4 linked regions of the Oryctolagus cuniculus genome follow. The protein of the gene in region 4 binds, or shares a complex with, the protein of the main gene of each other region. Links are inferred from orthologs where the notes say so. Each region holds a gene or a part of one and is shown on either strand. Other genes may lie near its edges.

What was found.
Region 1: the proteins of RAD1 (region 4) and HUS1 are in contact, whole or in part, in a crystal structure (PDB 8GNN), measured with the Homo sapiens proteins. The link is inferred for Oryctolagus cuniculus from reciprocal best matches to the Homo sapiens genes RAD1 and HUS1. Residues at the interface, in NP_002844.1 of Homo sapiens: Asn85, Val88, Asp91, Cys92, Ser94, Ile95, Phe96, Gly97, Ser98, Gly127, Val128, Val129, Thr130, Val131, Cys132, Lys133, Ile134, Asn135, Gln137; in NP_004498.1 of Homo sapiens: Thr165, Ser168, Val169, Lys172, Met173, Asn175, Ile176, Glu197, Leu198, Val199, Cys200, Val201, Thr202, Thr203, His204, Phe205, Lys206.
Region 2: the proteins of RAD1 (region 4) and RHNO1 are in contact, whole or in part, in a crystal structure (PDB 6J8Y), measured with the Homo sapiens proteins. The link is inferred for Oryctolagus cuniculus from reciprocal best matches to the Homo sapiens genes RAD1 and RHNO1. Residues at the interface, in NP_002844.1 of Homo sapiens: Asn47, Gly48, Ile49, Lys50, Phe64, Ile65, Gln66, Ser149, Lys155, Ile157, Glu211, Ala212, Lys240, Val241, Ser242, Arg244, Gln254, Tyr255, Met256, Phe266, Glu268; in NP_001239428.1 of Homo sapiens: Ser55, Trp56, Val57, Ser58, Pro59, Asp60, Phe61, Asp62, Thr63.
Region 3: the proteins of RAD1 (region 4) and RAD9A are in contact, whole or in part, in a crystal structure (PDB 3GGR), measured with the Homo sapiens proteins. The link is inferred for Oryctolagus cuniculus from reciprocal best matches to the Homo sapiens genes RAD1 and RAD9A. Residues at the interface, in NP_002844.1 of Homo sapiens: Glu165, Ala166, Ser168, Glu169, Asn195, Ala196, Gly197, Ser198, Ser199, His200, Leu201, Asp202, Tyr203, Pro204, Asp206, Ser207, Glu211; in NP_004575.1 of Homo sapiens: Leu76, Ser82, Val83, Ser86, Leu90, Lys92, Leu112, Phe116, Gly117, Val118, Arg119, Lys120, Thr121, His122, Asn123, Leu124.

The regions. Positions count from the first base shown.
Region 1 is NC_091447.1:53,481,245-53,485,446, reverse strand, and holds the start of HUS1 (checkpoint protein HUS1), read left to right. Parts: upstream 1-1,402; 5' UTR 1,403-1,536; coding exon 1,537-1,588; intron 1,589-1,768; coding exon 1,769-2,073; intron 2,074-3,322; coding exon 3,323-3,430; intron 3,431-4,202. UniProt on the Homo sapiens protein: Component of the 9-1-1 cell-cycle checkpoint response complex that plays a major role in DNA repair. The 9-1-1 complex is recruited to DNA lesion upon damage by the RAD17-replication factor C (RFC) clamp loader complex.
Region 2 is NC_091440.1:106,446,525-106,450,633, forward strand, and holds the start of RHNO1 (RAD9, HUS1, RAD1-interacting nuclear orphan protein 1), read right to left. Parts: upstream 2,801-4,109; 5' UTR 2,673-2,800; intron 2,661-2,672; exon of another isoform or gene 2,152-2,660; intron 1-2,151. UniProt on the Homo sapiens protein: Involved in microhomology-mediated end-joining (MMEJ) DNA repair by promoting recruitment of polymerase theta (POLQ) to DNA damage sites during mitosis.
Region 3 is NC_091432.1:4,711,957-4,715,982, forward strand, and holds the start of RAD9A (cell cycle checkpoint control protein RAD9A), read right to left. Parts: upstream 2,801-4,026; 5' UTR 2,565-2,800; intron 1-2,564. UniProt on the Homo sapiens protein: Component of the 9-1-1 cell-cycle checkpoint response complex that plays a major role in DNA repair. The 9-1-1 complex is recruited to DNA lesion upon damage by the RAD17-replication factor C (RFC) clamp loader complex.
Region 4 is NC_091445.1:60,574,898-60,579,151, forward strand, and holds the start of RAD1 (cell cycle checkpoint protein RAD1), read right to left. Parts: upstream 2,801-4,254; coding exon 2,603-2,800; intron 1,072-2,602; coding exon 963-1,071; intron 399-962; coding exon 140-398; intron 1-139. Other genes in the region: BRIX1 (ribosome biogenesis protein BRX1 homolog), read left to right, coding at 3,585-3,743. UniProt on the Homo sapiens protein: Component of the 9-1-1 cell-cycle checkpoint response complex that plays a major role in DNA repair. The 9-1-1 complex is recruited to DNA lesion upon damage by the RAD17-replication factor C (RFC) clamp loader complex.

The DNA of each region.
Region 1 (4,202 bases), on a different chromosome or scaffold from region 4:
TCACCCTGTCGGGGTGGGAACTGGCCTAATGAGGGGCGGCCTGATGGGGGAGACTGGCCTGATGGGAGGGGGTAGGCCTGATGGGGGGCAGTCAGATTGATAGGGGGGAAGCGGCCTGATGGGGGAGAAGTGCTGTGATGGGGGGAACCAGTCTGGTGTGGGGGAGAGACGGGCCTGATGGGGGGGAGCCAGCCTGATAGGGGGGAAGTGGCCTGATGGGGGGACTGGCCTGATGGGGGGGAAGTGCCCTGATGGTGGGGGACCGGCCTGATTGTGGGGGGGGTGGGAACAGGTCTGATGAGGGGAAGCACCCTGATGGGGGGGATCGGCCTTTTGTGGGGGGAAACTGGGGGAGTCCCCTATCTGAAGGGGGGAGTCACCCTATCTCCCTGACTGGGGGGATCGCCCTGATGGGGGAGGGGGGATCACTGAGCTGGAGAGGCAAGCGGTCTGCGGGAGGGGTGGGATCACCATGACGGGGGAGGGGGGGGCGGTAATCGCCCTGACTGGGGGGTGGTGATGAGGAAGGAATCCCTTGACGGGGGTGGGAGGGGTGATGACGGAGAAGGAATCGGCCTGACCTCCCCCAGACGGAGAGGTTACCGGCCTGACGGGGGCGGGGAGCGGCAGGACCCCGGCCCCCGGCACCCCGGGTCCCAGTCACCACGCCGCTCCCAGCCCGAGGTTCGGGGCCGCCGCTCTGGGGCGGTACTTCCTCTAATGCTTTACGAGGGCTTAGTTTCATCTGGATATTCTCAAGATCCGGACACCCGCGTCACGACGTCCTGGGGGCAGACCCCCCACCCCTGCCCCGCACGCGGCAGTCCCCATCCGGGGCCCGACTAGGGCCCACCCCTCTAGGGGCGTGGCCAGGTCCCTCCTCCCTCGGGGCGTGGTCAGGGGCCCCGCCTCCCCGGGGCGGCATCAAGAGGCCTCGCCTTCCCCGGAGCGGCATCAGGAGGCCCCGCCTCTCCCTGGGCGTGGCTAGGTCCCTCCTCCCCCGGGGCGGGCTCAGGAAGCCCCGCCTCCCCGGAGCGGCATCAGGAGGCCCTGCCTCTCCCTGGGCGTGGCTAGGTCCCTCCTCCCCCGGGGCGGGCTCAGGAGGCCCCGCCTTCCCCGGAGCGGGCTCAGGAGACCCCGCCTCCTCGGGGCGTGGCCAGGTCCCTCCTCCCTGGGGGCTTGGTCAGGGGCCCCGCCTCCCCGGGGCGGCATCAAGAGGCCCCGCCTTCCCCGGAGCGGCATCAGGAGGCCCCGCCTCTCCCCGGGCGTGGCCAGGTCCCTCTTCCCCCGGGGCGGGCTCAGGAGGCCCCGCCTCTCCCTGGGCGTGGCCAGGCCCCTCCTCCCTGGGGGCGGGCTCAGGACGCCCCGCCTCTCCCTGGGCGTGGCCAGGCCCCTCCTCCCTGGGGGCGGGCTCAGGACGCCCCGGCAAGGCCTCAGGCGGGAGCCGGCGGAACCACTCTGCGCAGCCGCGTTTCCGGGCCGGGCCGCTCGAGGCGGGACGCGTGTCCGCCGCCGACCGCGCTCCCCGGCGCCGACATGAAGTTCCGGGCCAAGATCGTGGACGCGGGCTGCCTGAACCACTTCACCCGTGAGCGGGGCGCGGGCCGGGGCGGGCAGGGCGCGCTCGGGGCGAGGCGGGCGCCCGGGGCGTCTCCGGAGCTCGTCCCCCGCGGCGGGCCGGCGCGGGAAGCGGGAAGCGGGCCGGGGCGCTGAGGGCCGGGGCCGGCGCGCCGCGCGACTCTGTCTCCGTGCCCGCTTCCCGCCGCAGGCGTCAGCAACATGGTAGCCAAGCTGGCCAAGACGTGCGCGCTGCGCATCAGCCCGGACAAGCTCAACTTCATCCTGTCGGACAAGCTGGCGGGCGGCGGCGCGAGCCTGTGGTGCGAGCTGCAGCAGGAGGACTTCTTCAGCGAGTTTCAGATGGAGGGCGTCTCCGCGGACAACAACGAGATCTACCTGGAGCTGACGTCCGAAAACCTCGCCCGGGCCCTGAAGACGGCGCAGAACGCCCGGGCCCTGAAGGTCAAGCTCACCAACAGGCACTTCCCGTGCCTCACCGTCTCGGTGGAGCTGGTGAGCGGCGGGCGGCCCGCGGGGGGCTCATTTCCAGTCGCACGGAGTCCAGGCAGCCCCCGCCCTTGGCAGCCGGTGGAACCCGCGCCGCCCCGGCCCCCGTGAGTCTGGGAGTGGTGGCCGCGCTGGTGCTGGGGATGCCAGTGCCGGTGCGAGTGCCAGCTCGGCCTCCTGCGCCCTGCTGGTGCACCCCTGGGGAGGCAGGTGACGGCTGGCCCCGCCCTGGGCCCCTGCCACCCAGCCCCCAGCTCCCGGCTTCTGCCTGCCCAGTCCCGGCTGTCCGGGGCATTTGGAGAGGGAACTGGCACACGGGACGTCTCTGTCTCCGCTGCTCTGCCTTCCAAATAAATAGAAATTGAATCAAAGACAGCCGTTTCTGTCCGTCTTCCCCTTAGCCGTGCTCTCCCAGGCCGTCTGCGGGCAGTGGCTTCCTCTCATTTTGCTGCCGCGAGTCAGCCCACGCAGGGCCCCTCGGTGGCTCCCGTTTCCTCACAAGGCCTTCAGGGCCCAGTCAGACACCACCGCGGCCCAGTGCTGCAGCTCGCCGACTCGCTGACTCACGGGCTGAGTCCTTCTTGGGCATGGCGGCCGCCTCCCCCGCCCCGTCCCCGCGTCTTCTCTGCGTGTCTCACTCTACAACCTGCGGTGACGATGGTGTTCAGCCCCAGCTCTGTGGAAGACGACTCCTCAGCTCTCTGCAGCGGGCCGGTACTCACGGCCTGGCTGGAGCCCCTCAGAGCCCCTCGCCACAGATCTGGATGGTTGAAGCTTCCAGCAGAGGATGAGCCGCGGGAGCTGAGCGGCTTCCCCGTGGCTTCCCCGCGGCAGGCAGCGTTGCGTCTGCCCCGCGCTCTGCTGGGCTGTTTTCTGGAGTGCTGTCTGGGGCGCGGCCCCTCGCCCGGTGCCGCCAGCCCGGCTGCCTCTGCTGGCCTTGGCAGCATCTGCGGGTGACCTCCCAGTCTGAGCAGCCTCCCTCGGGCTCTGCCTAGTCTCGCTCCTGCGTTTCCTTCCAGGCTGTATCGAGCACCTCGTGCCGTCTTGCCGTTTTTTTGTGTCCCGGTTCTGCCGGAACATCAGGGCCCGCTTCCCAGGTGCCGGCAGAACGGTGCTCCCTCGGCCTGGCTGAGTGGGTTTTGAGAGAATGTACTGACAGCATTCGGCTTCCCTCAGATAGTTCAACTTTTTGGTCCTCAGTAACTTGGCTTTTTAGCACGGATAGCAGAACCATTTTTAATTCTTGTCTTTCCAGATATCCGTGTCAAGCAGCAGTCGCATCGTGACGCACGACATCCCCATAAAGGTCATCCCTAGGAGACTGTGGAGGGACTTCCGGGAGCCCTGCATCCCAGATTCCGACGTAAGTGCTGTCTGCGGGCTCGCCCCTCGGGGCACATGAAGGGCGGGGTTTGAATTCTGTGGTTTTGATTGATCTTAGGGTGCGTTCATGTTTGTTTTAGAGTTGTGTAGGGCCTGAAGAGAAAGTGGCATTCATTTTTAGGGCTGTTCAAGGAGAAATCTGAGTCATGCCTTTGTTATTTGCAAAAAAGATCTTGAGAGACGATCGCGTCTGATGGACGTGCCATGCTCTCAGTGACAGCACCGGGACAGGCCTGAAGCGGCACCGAGTGGTCAGCTCGGGTCTCTGAGGACCCGAGTCCCGCGACCCAGCCGTCTGGATGTGTGTCACAGAGCCGGGAGGAGGGCGTGATCGTGACCGAGCGCCGTGGAGAGTAAAGACGATGCCCAAGGGCCTGGCCTCCTGCTCACCGTTTGCTGCAGAAGAAATTCAACGCTGTGCTGGACAGATGATCACTGGGCTCCGCCGAGGGCCGCCTGGACTTGGGAAAAGGCAGCGTTGGATGAAGCACACGGGTGACGTGGCCTCGGGGTGGCGCAGTGACTGCTCCCTGTCGTGCACAGAGCTCGGAAGAGGCCCCGCTGAGCGCCGCCGTCCTTCTTAGGTGCTTAGGGACAAGCCGCCCAGGGGGGCAGAGCAGGCATGCCGTGCTCCAGTTTTGTTTCATTGCTGTGAGTTAATGAAATTAGAAAAACGGGTCCCCTGTGTTTTGAAGAGCTTCATTCAGATCATTTAAAAGCAGGACGCAAGCGTGCGTGCATTCCAGAGTCAG
Region 2 (4,109 bases), on a different chromosome or scaffold from region 4:
CTGGCGCACCGCGCTGATCCGAAGCCAGGAGCCAGGTGCTTCCTCCTGGTCTCCCATGCGGGTGCAGGGCCCAAGCACCTGGGCCATCCTCCACTGCCTTCCCGGGCCACAGCAGAGAGCTGGACTGGAAGAGGAGCAACCGGGACAGAACCAGAGCCCCAACCGGGACTAGAACCCAGGGTGCTGGCGAGGCAGGTGGAGGATTAGCCTAGTGAGCCATGGTGCCGGCTCTAAGTAAATAAATCTTAAAAAGAGAGAGAGAAAAATAACAAACTTTGGGGAGAATGTGGAAATTCATGACTTGCTGAGGTCAACAGCCTCAAATGGGTGCTACATTGTTTGGCAATCTTGCTATTTCTTTAATCAGCTCATTCTCCACAAAGATTAAGCCTTTTTTTTTTTTTTTTTAAAGCAATCTATGTCTATGACAGAGCAGGACAGAAAGATCCCATCTACTGGTCCACTTCTGAAATGCTTGCAATAGCTAGAGGCCCAGCGATGGGAGCTGGGAACTCAGAGCAGTTCTCCCCCATGAGTGGCAGGGGCCCCGTTACGTGAGCCATCACTGCTGCCTCCCAGGATCCTCACTGGCAGGAAGCCAGAGCCAGGTGTCCAACCCAGGCACTACAATGAAGGACACAGGTGCCTCAACAGGGGCCTAACTGGCGGGCCAAAGGCCTGCCCCTCCGTGTTCTTTTCCATTTAAAGATTTGTTTATTTATTTGAAAGGCAGAGTTACAGAGAGGCAGAGAGAGAGAGAGAGGGGGGCAGAGAGATCTTCCTTCCACTGGTTCACTCCCCAAATTGTTTCAATGGCCAGAGCTGTGCTGATCTGAAGCCAGGAGCCAGGAGTTCTTCTGCGTCTCCCACGTGGATGCAGGGGCCTAAGCACCTGGGCCATCTTCTTCTGCTTTCCCAGGCGCATTAGCAGAGAGCTTGATCAGAAGTGGAGCAGCCAGGACTAGAACTGGTGCCCGTATGAGATGCCAGCACTACAGGCGGTGGCTTTACCCGCTATGCCGCAGCGCTGGCCTCTCCACGTTCTTAAAACCTCAGAAATGACATTACTTCCTACTTCACAAAAAATACAGATGACATCAAAGGAAATGCTGGGATTTTGCAGAAAGCAAACATACACGCCTACATAAATCTGTAGCCATCCTCTTCCCTTGTGGTCTAATCAGAAGTCAGCCCTTTCTGTTCCCCCCGGCTGGGCTCTGACCTGGTTCTCACTCTATGCTCTTAGGCAATGTCCTCTGCTCACACTTCAACAACCACCTAGAGGTAGACGACCTCAGCACTACCTCTTCAGCTTAAAACTCTAAGCTCTGCACTCAGATGTCCTGCTGCCTGCTGAACAGCAACTAGATGTCGCAAGCGCGCCTCCAATTCCGCACTAACATTTACAACTGAACCATGGTTCCCCCAGCACCTCCCACCCCTAACCCCGGCCAAAGTGATTATGCTGGGGCAGAGGGGGGACTTGCTCAAGGGACAGCATCATCAGTCCTCCAGTTAGGCAGCCAGAAACCTTGACACTCCCCTCCCTGCTCCCCACCCAACACCAAGCCTGCAGATTTCTCTCTTAAATATGTCTCTTTCTGACTGCTCTCTCCTTCTCCGTTCTCTTTTCTCTCCCCATTGCCCTTCTTCAGATTCCAACGCGTCTAGAACAGCAATGGCCTAACAGGTCTACCCTAATCCCCTCTGGTGCCTCTCTCTTAAAAATGCAAATCCGATCTTGGGTCTCTCCTACTTAAAAGCTGTTGATTGGCTTCCTCTGCTTCTCGGGTCAGAACAAAATTCCTCAGCACGGCGAAGGCCCTACCTCTTCTGGCTGCAGCTTCGACTCACACCACAATCCGTCCTAGTCTCTTAGCTCAGACCCGGATATTCCTAAGCCTTTGATTCCTCCCGCCGGGCATCGTCTTTGCACACATTATTCCCCTCTTCTACTCAAGAAAGCGTCTCTCCTTTCTCTGCAAAAGGCGGCAGGGCTCACAGCACGGTGCAGTTCATCCGAAAGGCCCTGCCTGTCCTACCTAAGAGTGCACTGATGACGAGGAGCGGGAGGATGCTTTCATTCTAAGTTTATTTGACTCTTGCAAAAACATCCATACTCCCGTCCCCCCAGCCCCTCCATTAACCTACAAGTTCAGGAGAAGCAAAAGACCTTGTCTTTCATCCTAGCAGGGAGCTGCAAAAGGTCCACGGACGATTCGCATTTATCTTTCCATTTCATTTCTCCACGAACTTCTGCAGCTCCTCGGTACCTTCGGGGCCTGCCCGTGCCCGCCCATGGTGGCTGCAGAATGCGTCTCCGGTCTCTTCCAGGTAAGGCCGGGCTGCGAGAGGGAGTGGGGCGGACCGGGGGTCGCAGGCAGGCAAAATCCAAGCCAAGGGCGGGTGGACCGCGGCGAGGGGGCGGGGGGCGCACGCTGCACCCCACCCCCCAGAGGGCTCCTGCAGCAGACGGAGGTCCACTGGACGACCCCGGAGAACGACTTTGCTCAGGAGGGAAATCCGCGGCCACAGCGCTCCAAGGCCGTCGTGAGGAAGCAGGGGGCGATCGCCACCACCCCGCGCCCCAGAGCCGCGCCCCTCTCCCCAGGCGGCTCCTCCTCCGCCCCGTCCGGCGCCGGGGCCCCACTAGCCCGCCGCGGCCGCCTTACCTCCCCGCCGCGCCAGGCCGCCGTGGCTGCTGCTGCCGGGCGCCCACGTTCGAGCCGGAACGCCGAGACAAGCCTGCGCCCATTGGCGGCGCCGCGTCACGTGACCGCAACGTAACCGCAACGCTCCGCCGGCGCCAATTTCAAACAGCGGAACAAACTGAAAGCTCCGGTGCCCGACCGCATCCCCGGCCCCGGCCCGGGACCCCCCCTCCCCTCCCGGGAACCCCCGGGGCTCCCGCCCCTCCCGCGCGTCCGGGACCCGGCCGGCCGGGTGCGAGTCCCTGTCGGGGGCCCTGGCTCGGCCCCAGGTTGGAGGAGGCACAGCCCTGCAGCAGCGGCGGCGGCGGTGCTACAGTCTGGAGGTGAGCGGGGAGCGGCCATGGAGTCCCAGGCCCGGCCGGGGCGGAGGCGGGGAGCCGGGGCTCGGGCGCCGAGCGCAGGGCGCGGGACGCGCGAGTGGAAGTTTTGGGGCCGCTTGGGAAGGAGGTCTGAGCGAACGTGCACATTTTTTTCTGCGTCTAGCTCCTGGCCTTGGCCTTGTCTCTCCCGTCTCCCAAAGCACCCCTTGGCCTTGCCTGCAAGTTTCACCTTTGCACGCTGTCCACAGGCCAAGGAAGGCCTGGATGGCCTGCTTGCTCAGCGTCCACTGTGCCAGGCACGGAGACAGACCTTGTTCTTCATGGAGTGCGAGACCAGCCCGCACACATGCACCCCTGCTCCCGGGCGCTCTCACCATTGCGCAACACTGTCTCCAGCCTACCCCTGCATTCCTAGGCTGTGTCAGGGTCCCCCTGCTGAGGATTGGCACGGGGTCAGAGGAGTCACTCTGGAAGTTTTCCGGCTGGAAGGTTGACAGTAACAGAGAGGCCTGTCAGATAGGAGAGAGAGAGAAGGAGAGATTAAATATCCAGTGGACTAGAGGAATAGTGTCTAGTGAGGTGCATGCCAGAAGGAGGGAAGCCTGGAGGGATGTGAGGTGGAATCACAGCCGAGATTTGAAAGTAGAGGAAGCCTAGATATACAGGAAAGAGGGACAGTAGGGTAGGGAGCGCCTGCGACCTCTGAGCAGGTGGCAAATGTCACAGAATATGTGGTCCTTTTGTAGGGCGATGGAAGGTTTTGTAAAAGAGCCAATTCTGTCTTTGAAAGTACCTTGAAGTAGAATTATACGACTTGACTTACTGGCAGAGTATTCCAAGTATTTGTTAGACTCAACAAAGCACTCTTTTAAAGCCGAAACTACATTCCTCAGATTTCACAACCACCTTAGCACGTTGAGGGTAGCGCATTCTTGTAGTCAGGAGATAGGGGTTCCAAGTCTTGGTCCTGTAAAGGGGATTAAGCAGTAGTATATGTAGGAAGTTAAAGTATGTGTTTAAGCACATGCAAGAACAGAATTGTCATGATGCAAATATTTTGTAAGTTGTGAAAGAAAAT
Region 3 (4,026 bases), on a different chromosome or scaffold from region 4:
GATTCGCATGCGTTCCTACAGCCGTGTGAGCAGCCTGTCTTACGTAAACACTGCAACTCAACAGCCAGCCATCTCTGAAGCACACGGGTGAGTGCGCCCATCCCCCGCGGAGCGCAATGACGAGAGTGCCTTCTCTACTACGTGCTCCGGCCGTTGCAGCCATCTGGGGAGTGAACCAGCGGATGGAAGACCTCTCTCTCTCTGCCTCTGCCTCTCTGTAACTCTGCCTTTCAAATAAATCTTTAAAAACATCAATAAAAGAGAAGGAAAAAAAAGATATCTTCCATCCACTGGTTCACTCCCCAAATGGCCGTAACAGCCAGGGCTGGGCCAGGCCGAAGCCAGGCGCTTCATCTGGGTCTCCCACATGGGTGCCGGGGCCCAGTGATGGAAGCCATCCTCGGCTGCTTTCCCAGGCGCACCAGCAGGGAGCTGGATTGGAAGTGGAGCAGCCGGGACTTGAACCGCTGCCCATATGGGATGCGGGCACCACAGCTGGCAGCTTCACGAGCTATGCCACAGCCCTGGCCCCTAAGGAATTTATTTTTTAATGATCAGAAATGATAGCCAGGACTTGAGAAGAACTTACAACATGCAGGCCCTGAACTAAAACCTGACACTGGGGCAGGCACTGTGGTACAGCGTGGGAAAACTGCATCCCACATCCGGGTGCCAGCACAGTTCCCAGCCACCAGCTTCCTGCTACTGCATCCTGGGGGGAACCGGATGATGGCCCAGGCTTGGGCCCCGCCCCCCACGGGAGACTCAGACGGAGGTCCTGACTCCCAGCTACCCCCTGACTCAGCCCCAGCAGTTGTAGGCACTTAGGGGTGAACCAGCAGATGGAATCTCTCTCTCTCCCTTTCTCTCCGTCTTTGACATACAATCTTTCTTTTTTCCCCAAAGAAACCTTTTATTTAAGGAACACAAACTTCATAAGGACAACTTCAGCCCTCCTGCGCCTCCTCCTCCCTCTCCCATCCCAGCCCCGTTCTCCATTAAGATTCATTGTCAATTACCTTTGTACACAGAAGACCAACTCTATACCAAGTAAAGATTTCAACAGTTTGCACACACACAGAGAAGAAGTCGTACAGTTAACTCTTGTAACACAGCTCACTGAGGACAGAGGTCCTGCACCGGAGTTAGTGCACAGTGACTCCTGTTGCTGATTCGACAATTAACACTCAGACTACATCGAATCTTGACAGTCGGCCATTGCGGCACAGCTGGCCAAGCCGCTGACTGGGACGCCGCACCAGTTCCATTCCGGGCTACGCAGCCTCGGACCCAGTTCCCCAATGCACCGAGAAGCAGAAGACGGCCCGAGCACTCGTTCCCACCACCCAGGTAGGAGAGCAGGACGGATTCCTGCCCCCCGCCTCGCCGGGCCTGGCGGTGACCCAGCGTCCGAATGGAATCGAAGATCTCTGTCACTCTGCCTTTCAAATAAACGCGTATTCTTTTCTGAAAAAAACGCACACGAATATTTTCATTTAATCCTCACGACGGGAGGCGGTCCTATCCTAATCCTCATTTCTGCACGTGAGGAAACAGGGTCCAGAGATATAAAGACTGGACTCAACAAAGTCACAACCCGGGGCCCCGCCGGCTTAGGCCACGGCCTGCAAGGCCAGAATCCCACGTGGCTGCTGGTCCGCTTCCGTCCAGCCTGGGGGAGCTGCAGGTGAGGCCCAAGTCCCTGCCACTCACATGGGAGACTCGGATGGAGCTCCAGGGTCCCTCGGCCAGGCCCAGCCCGCTGTAACCATTTAGGGAGTGACCTAGGAGACGGAAGACCCACGGCTCTCCCTCCGCCCCGCCCCGCCCCACTGTAACTCCGCCTGTTTTTAACTCCGCCTTTTTTTTTTTTTTTTTTTTTTTTTTTTTGACAGGCAGAGTGGACAGTGAGAGAGAGACAGAGAGAAAGGTCTTCCTTTGCCGTTGGTTCACCCTCCAATGGCCGCCGCGGCCGGCGCACCGCGCTGATCCGATGGCAGGAGCCAGGTGCTTCTCCTGGTCTCCCATGGGGTGCAGTGCCCAAGCACCTGGGCCATCCTCCACTGCACTCCCGGGCCACAGCAGAGAGCTGGCCTGGAAGAGGGGCAACCGGGACAGAATCCGGCGCCCCGACCGGGACTAGAACCCAGTGTGCCGGGGCCGCAAGGCGGAGGATTAGCCTAGTGAGCCGCGGCGCCGGACTCAAATAAATCTTTTTAAAAAGTGACGAACCCGAGTTTCTCTGTTCTGGCTCAAAACCCGCCAGTTCCCGGTCTCTCTCGCTGCGCAGACGAGCACGCGACCTGCTTCACCCAGGCCAGCGACAGAGCCGTCCTCCGGTGCCACGGAGCCAGGCGCTGCTCCGCGACGGAATCGCAGCGGGGACCCGAATCCCAGCGCAAGCCCTCGCCCCTGAAGGCCAGAGGCGCCGCGAGCCGCCCCGGCCCCGGACGCAGCCAAGGCAGAGCCGCGTCCAGCCCCGGGCGCGCTCGCGGCCCGGCCGAGGCTTCCTCCACTCACGCGCGGCGCGAACCGTCCCTGCAGCGGCCGGCGCCCGCCAGTACCTGTCCGCGGCCGCGCAGGTCCTCGGCCGCAGGGGACAACGCGCTGACCACAGCCGGACGCCGGCCTCGCCGACCCCGGCCGACCCCTTCGCCTCAGCGCGCCGAAGCCCCCGGGGCGCTCGGACGCCGGGACACCAGCAAGAACTTGGGGAGGGCTGGTGCCGGCAGGCGGGGCCGCCCTGGCCCCGTCCGCTCCAGCCGCTACTTTGTCCCCTCAACCGCCTGCAGACCCCACGCCAACGGCGGAGGAACCCCTGCCCGCGCCGTCGAGGGAAGCGACCCGAACGCTGGAAGCCAGGTTCCCATGGAAACCAGCGGGGCCTTTTGCGCATGCTCGGAAGCGCTAGGCACGCTGGGAAGTGTGGTTTCCGGGTTGTCCCCGGGAGGCCCTAGGAACCGACGCAAGATGGCGCCCGAGTTTCGCCGAGTGCGTCCCGCGGCCGTCGGGCGAGGCCGGCTTGGGAGAGGCCGCGGAGGCCTGAAAGGTAGCTTCTCTGGGCAGCCGCGGCTCTAAGGCGTCTGAGGTGCGGGGCGAAGCGGCAGAGGCGCTGGACCCAGGGAGGACGGTGTGAAGATGGGCGCTGCGCCGGGACGGACCGGCTGCCCGCGGGACGGGACGGGAACTCTGCCAAGGAGACCCCGGGAGCTGGGGGCGTCCCGCCCCTCCCTGCGCCCAAGGCCAGCCCCGGGGACAGCTGTGCGGTCAGCGAGCCGACTGGCCAGGAGCCACCCTTCGCACCCCGGAACTGCGCATCTGGAAACCTCGGGTGCGGCTCAGGCTCTGCTAGACGCGGCCGCCACTTCGGCAGCTTGACCGCCTCCCGGGAAGGCAGTGGTCAGCCTGAAGCCTGCCCGTCTGCTCCCGCCGAGTTGCAAGGTGACCACAGCGCGTGGAGGCCGGAGGCCTTTGGAGGGTTGTAGCCGGGCATCCCCGTTCCCTGCGACGGGAGGCTGAGCAACAGTGGCGCTGAGTTAAAAATGCTGCAGCCCTCGCTCGGCAGTTGTCGACAGAGGCACGCAGAGGTAGGGTGCCCGTGCGCCTCGGGAAGTGTTCCCTGGGCCGGAGCAACAGGAAGGCCCATGAATAGTGACTGTGCGTCAGCGGAGGGCCAGTGAAACCGACGCTGGGCTTTTTGTAAGGATCTGTTCACTCGTTCGTTTATTCAGAAGGCAGAGTGACAGAGAGAGAGAGAGAGGGAGAGAGAGAGGCCTTCCATCCACTGGGTCACTCCCCAGACGCCTGCCTAGCCAGGGGCCGGGAGCCCCATCCGGCCTTCCCACCGGGCTGGCAGGGGCTCAAGCTCCGGAACCTTCCCGTGCCACGGGTGCGCATTCGCGAAGCTGACTCAAGCAGAGCTGGGACTTGAACCCAGGGATCCTTGTCTGGGACGTGGGTGCCCCACGTGGGCTCGTGGTTTTTCGTTTGTTTTTTGGTTTTTTTTTTTTTTTAAGATTTATTTTT
Region 4 (4,254 bases):
TCTTGGGTCTTAAGTTTCTTGAGCTGTAAAATTACGGAAGTTCTGAAAATTCTATTAAGTTGGACCATAAAAATTCTACATCTTCAGTGAGGAGACAGCATACAGACCAAATAACCATAACTATACTGCTCTCAAGTACCTGAAATAAGGCTTTTCAGGAGACATGGTGATCTGTAGGACCTCACTTGTCATATCCAACTCGGAAAATGCCTCCCGGAGTCCCTCTGACTGCAGAATAATTTTATTAATAACGTTGGTGCTGCAAAAATCAAAATCCAGAGTATCCTCAGGCTCCTGAGTATTGATCTTGCAGACTGTCACCACTCCGCCTTCTTCCAGAAACAGCATCAAAGGGTGGCCGTAACCCTGGTAACACATCCGAAGTGCAGTTAGAGTCCCTAAAATGGTGAAGAAATCACACCGCTAGTTAATGGCAGGGAAAAGCAGAAACCAGTTCTGGGAGCAATTTATTGTATTCAAAATTTGTTTGCATTCTTAAGAAATCCTGTTTATAAGTTATGTTTTCATTTCTTTTGGGCATTATTTTTAGGAATGGAGGAATTCAGTAACCATAAATGTAAAACTATAGGAATCCCCAGAAGAATTATTTTATTTTGTAGGAAAGCAAGTTGGATATTAGGCGAAATTCAGCTATGGTTCTCTAGATAATATACTTTAGTTTTATCCTGACAATTCCACTATTACTGCTTATACATGTTTTAATACATTGCTTTCTGGCACTCCGTTATGGGATGTGGCAGCTTAACCTGTGGTGCTGCACTGCCAGTGCCCTATAAACACACTCTTACTTGACACTCGAAAATGTCAGGGTCCACAAGAGTAACCACTGACAAAGAAACTGGTTTAAGAAATTCTTTTAAAGAAATGCTTTTATGCTAAATAACACTGCATTATTCTCATTCTGTATAATGCTGTTGTGTCTTTATAATAAAATGGTTTACCTGGCGTAGGACTTGATCCAAAAATTGATAAGCAGTCTAAAAGGACAGTTAAATTAATGCGAAAAGTAATGGACTCTTCCTGAACTATGAACTCTTGAAATATTCCAGCCTAAGAGAAGATAAGCACAGAGATGGTTACACATATTAAAGACTGAAAACTCACATATAAGATTCTAGGTTTCACTGTTTTAAAAATAACTATACTGTGCTGACCCCATGAGATGTTACCTAACTACCAATCAAAACATCTTAGTTTTGTCAACTGTTTTCCATTAGAACATTACTGCTCAGTGAAGATGCAACAGTAATGGAGCTCCCATGCAAAACCTTGTGAAGGGTCCTTTCTCTCCGTTTTTTTTTTTTTTTTCCTGGTAAGGATTTACTTATTTGAAAGTCAGAGTTACACAGGGAGAGAGATGGAGAAAGAGTTTCCATATGCTGGTTCACTCCCCAGATGGCTGCAACAGCCAGGGCTGAACCAAGCCAGGGACAGGGGCCAGGAGCTTCTTCCTAGTTTCCTGTGTGGGTGGCAGGGGCCCAAGCACTTGGGCCACCTTTGTGCTTTCCCAGGCCATTAGTAGGGAGCTGGATCAGAAGTGGAGCGGCCTGGCCGTGAAACAACACAGATATGGGGCGCCAGGATCTCCATACCACAAAGCCGCCCCTCTCTCCGTTCTTGCATGTAAAACTGTCCTTTTTTGTGCCCATCAGTATGGCTAAGGTCATTTGGAAAACAATCTAACAATGCATTGTGTGATACTAGTTTTCAGTTTCTTTGAGAAGAATCAAGTCTTATTTATTCTTCCATGCCTGGGGTCATAACTGTGAACTCGGGTGTTTCAAAACAAAACAAAACAAAACTGAGGGGCTGGAGCTGTGGCGAAGTGGGTTAACGCCCTGGCCTGCAGCGCCGGCATCCCATATGGGCACCGGTTCGAGACCTGGCTGCTCCGCTTCTGATCCAGCTCTCTGCTATGGCCTGGGAAAGCAGTAGAAGATGGCCCAGGTCCTTGCACTCCTGCAGCTACGTGGGAGACCGGGAGTAAGCTCCTGGCTCCTGGCTTCGGATCGGCGCAGCTCCGGCCGTTGTGGCCATCTGGGGAGTGAACCAGTGGATGGAAGACACCCCCCCCCCCCCCCCCCGCCACCTCTCCTCTCTCTGTGTAACTCTGACTTTCAAATAAATAAATCTTAAAAAAAAAAATGAGCAGAATCCAAAATCTTTTCTGAACCATACAAATATTTCCGTGTAAGACTCTATTACAGCCAAAAGAAGGAAAAGCATTTTTCTAAAAGGGAAATAGCTACTAAAGAGCATATAGTCTGGAAACAAACATTTGGGGTTCTTATCTCAACTGTTGGGACTGCTGGCAAATCGATTAACTGTTTGCACATACGTAAAACGGGAGCAACAGAAGGTGTGGGGCTACCGTGAGGATCAGATGAGCCGAACACCTAGAGGACTGGCTAGCCTAGGGTTTAGCTTTCTAAACGTCAATCATTATCATTATTCACCATTATCTCTGTTAAGATGGGGAAAGAATGTTTCCAGGAGAGAAGACACCTTAAACGCCATTCTGTTTTCAGACTTAACTTGTCTACTGAGACCTTTCTCGGGCTGGAAGGCGCCCGTTGCGTACCTGGATGAAAGCGTTGGCTTGCACACACTTCGCATTTTCCACTGTGACTCGGATTCCATTCTTAGTAGCGAAGCAGGTGGCGTGCTCGCGGAAGTGAATGGCTTTCAGGATCGTGGAGAGGTTCCTGACGTTGTCCAGGCTGGCCACTAGGCTGTACTGGACACTCTCGTCCTGGATCCGCTGGGTGAGCAGCGGCATCCTGCCTGGCACCTGGGGCCCACACCCGCTCCCGAGGATCTCAGAGCACCTGCCGGGGGTCGGAGATAACGTGGAAGGGGCCAGGCGAGGCGCCACTGTAACTGTGACCCTGCGGGGGATTCTTGTCTTCCCAGTGCGGACGGTAACACGGGGAAAGTAGCTTAGAACGAAAACACGCAACCCACAAAGGAGGTGCACTAGGGGGCCAGTCACGCCACTTATCCCCGGATCCGCTCGGGCCACCTCGCGCCACCAACCTGGCTTGCAACCCGACAGGCAACCGGGGTGGGGGCGCTCGGGTCCTATGAGTTTCTCCCAGAGTCCGAGACAACCAGTTCAGCTGCCCGCGGGACAGCACCCGCTTCCTAGGGCCGGGATCGCGAGCGCCGGAAATCCTACCCTTGTAGAGGGGGCCAGACACCCGAGAGCCCGGCCCAGCCTGGACACCGAGCAGGAGAGCTGCAGCTCCCGGAATACCACGGAGCGGGCGGCTCAGCTCCCGCCACTATCTTCAGACCAGCTCTCCGCTTCGGCCACCGTCACCACAGAGCTGGAGGAGGCCTAGAGAGTCGCACGGCGGCACCACCGAGATCGGAAGTAAGCGCCAGAGAGTCGCGGAAGAGCCATAGAGGAGAGCGAGCGGTATCATCGAGACCGGAAGTAAGCGCCAGAGAGCCACGGAGGGGCCATAGAGGAGCGCGTGCGGTACCATAGAGACCGGAAGTGGAGCGAGCGGTGGAGTGGGGGGAACCGGAAGAAAAGCCAGTAGTGGTGTCGAGGCAAGATGGCGGCCACCAAGAGGAAGCGGCGTGGAGGGTTGCCGGTGCAGGCGAAGAAGCCGAAAAAAGACGACAGAGATGCCGGGCCGCAGGCAAAGAGTGGCGTCACGACAGAAGAGGTGGAGGAAGAAAACAGAGACCGTATCCCCGGCCCCGTGTGCAAGGTAGAAGCGGTTACCGCTACGCCGGCGGCGGCGGCTCCACGCGCCTTCCCCGGGACTCCCTAAATCTCTCTTCCTTTCGGAGTAGCTGGGGTGTTGGGGGAACCCGTTCCCAGCAGTGCTCTTGGACGGTTTGTGCATGATGTGTGCACCTAACTCGTACGCGCCGCCGTCCTCGTTTAGGCGGTGGGCTTTGGAACCCTCCTTACCCGGCGTAGGGGAGAACTCAGCTCAGGTGTTTCCATAGGCTTTTCCTTGTTCTTTTCTACCTCTTTTGGAGGGTGTGTTTTTGCGAAGTTGTTTCGGTCTGTACTGCCGTGGTCGGCCAGTGTCATTTGGGAACCCTGAAGCTCGCCTTGGGAACCTTTGGAAAGTTGTTCGTGGGATGAGGCCTTTGACGCCTTGATCTGGGTCTTGAACTGAAGGGATAGTGAAAAATACGTTAGATCGTATAGCTGTCTCACCAAACACGCTTCTAAGGAGCCGTGTGCGACTGTCCAGTTAGGCTTCCTCT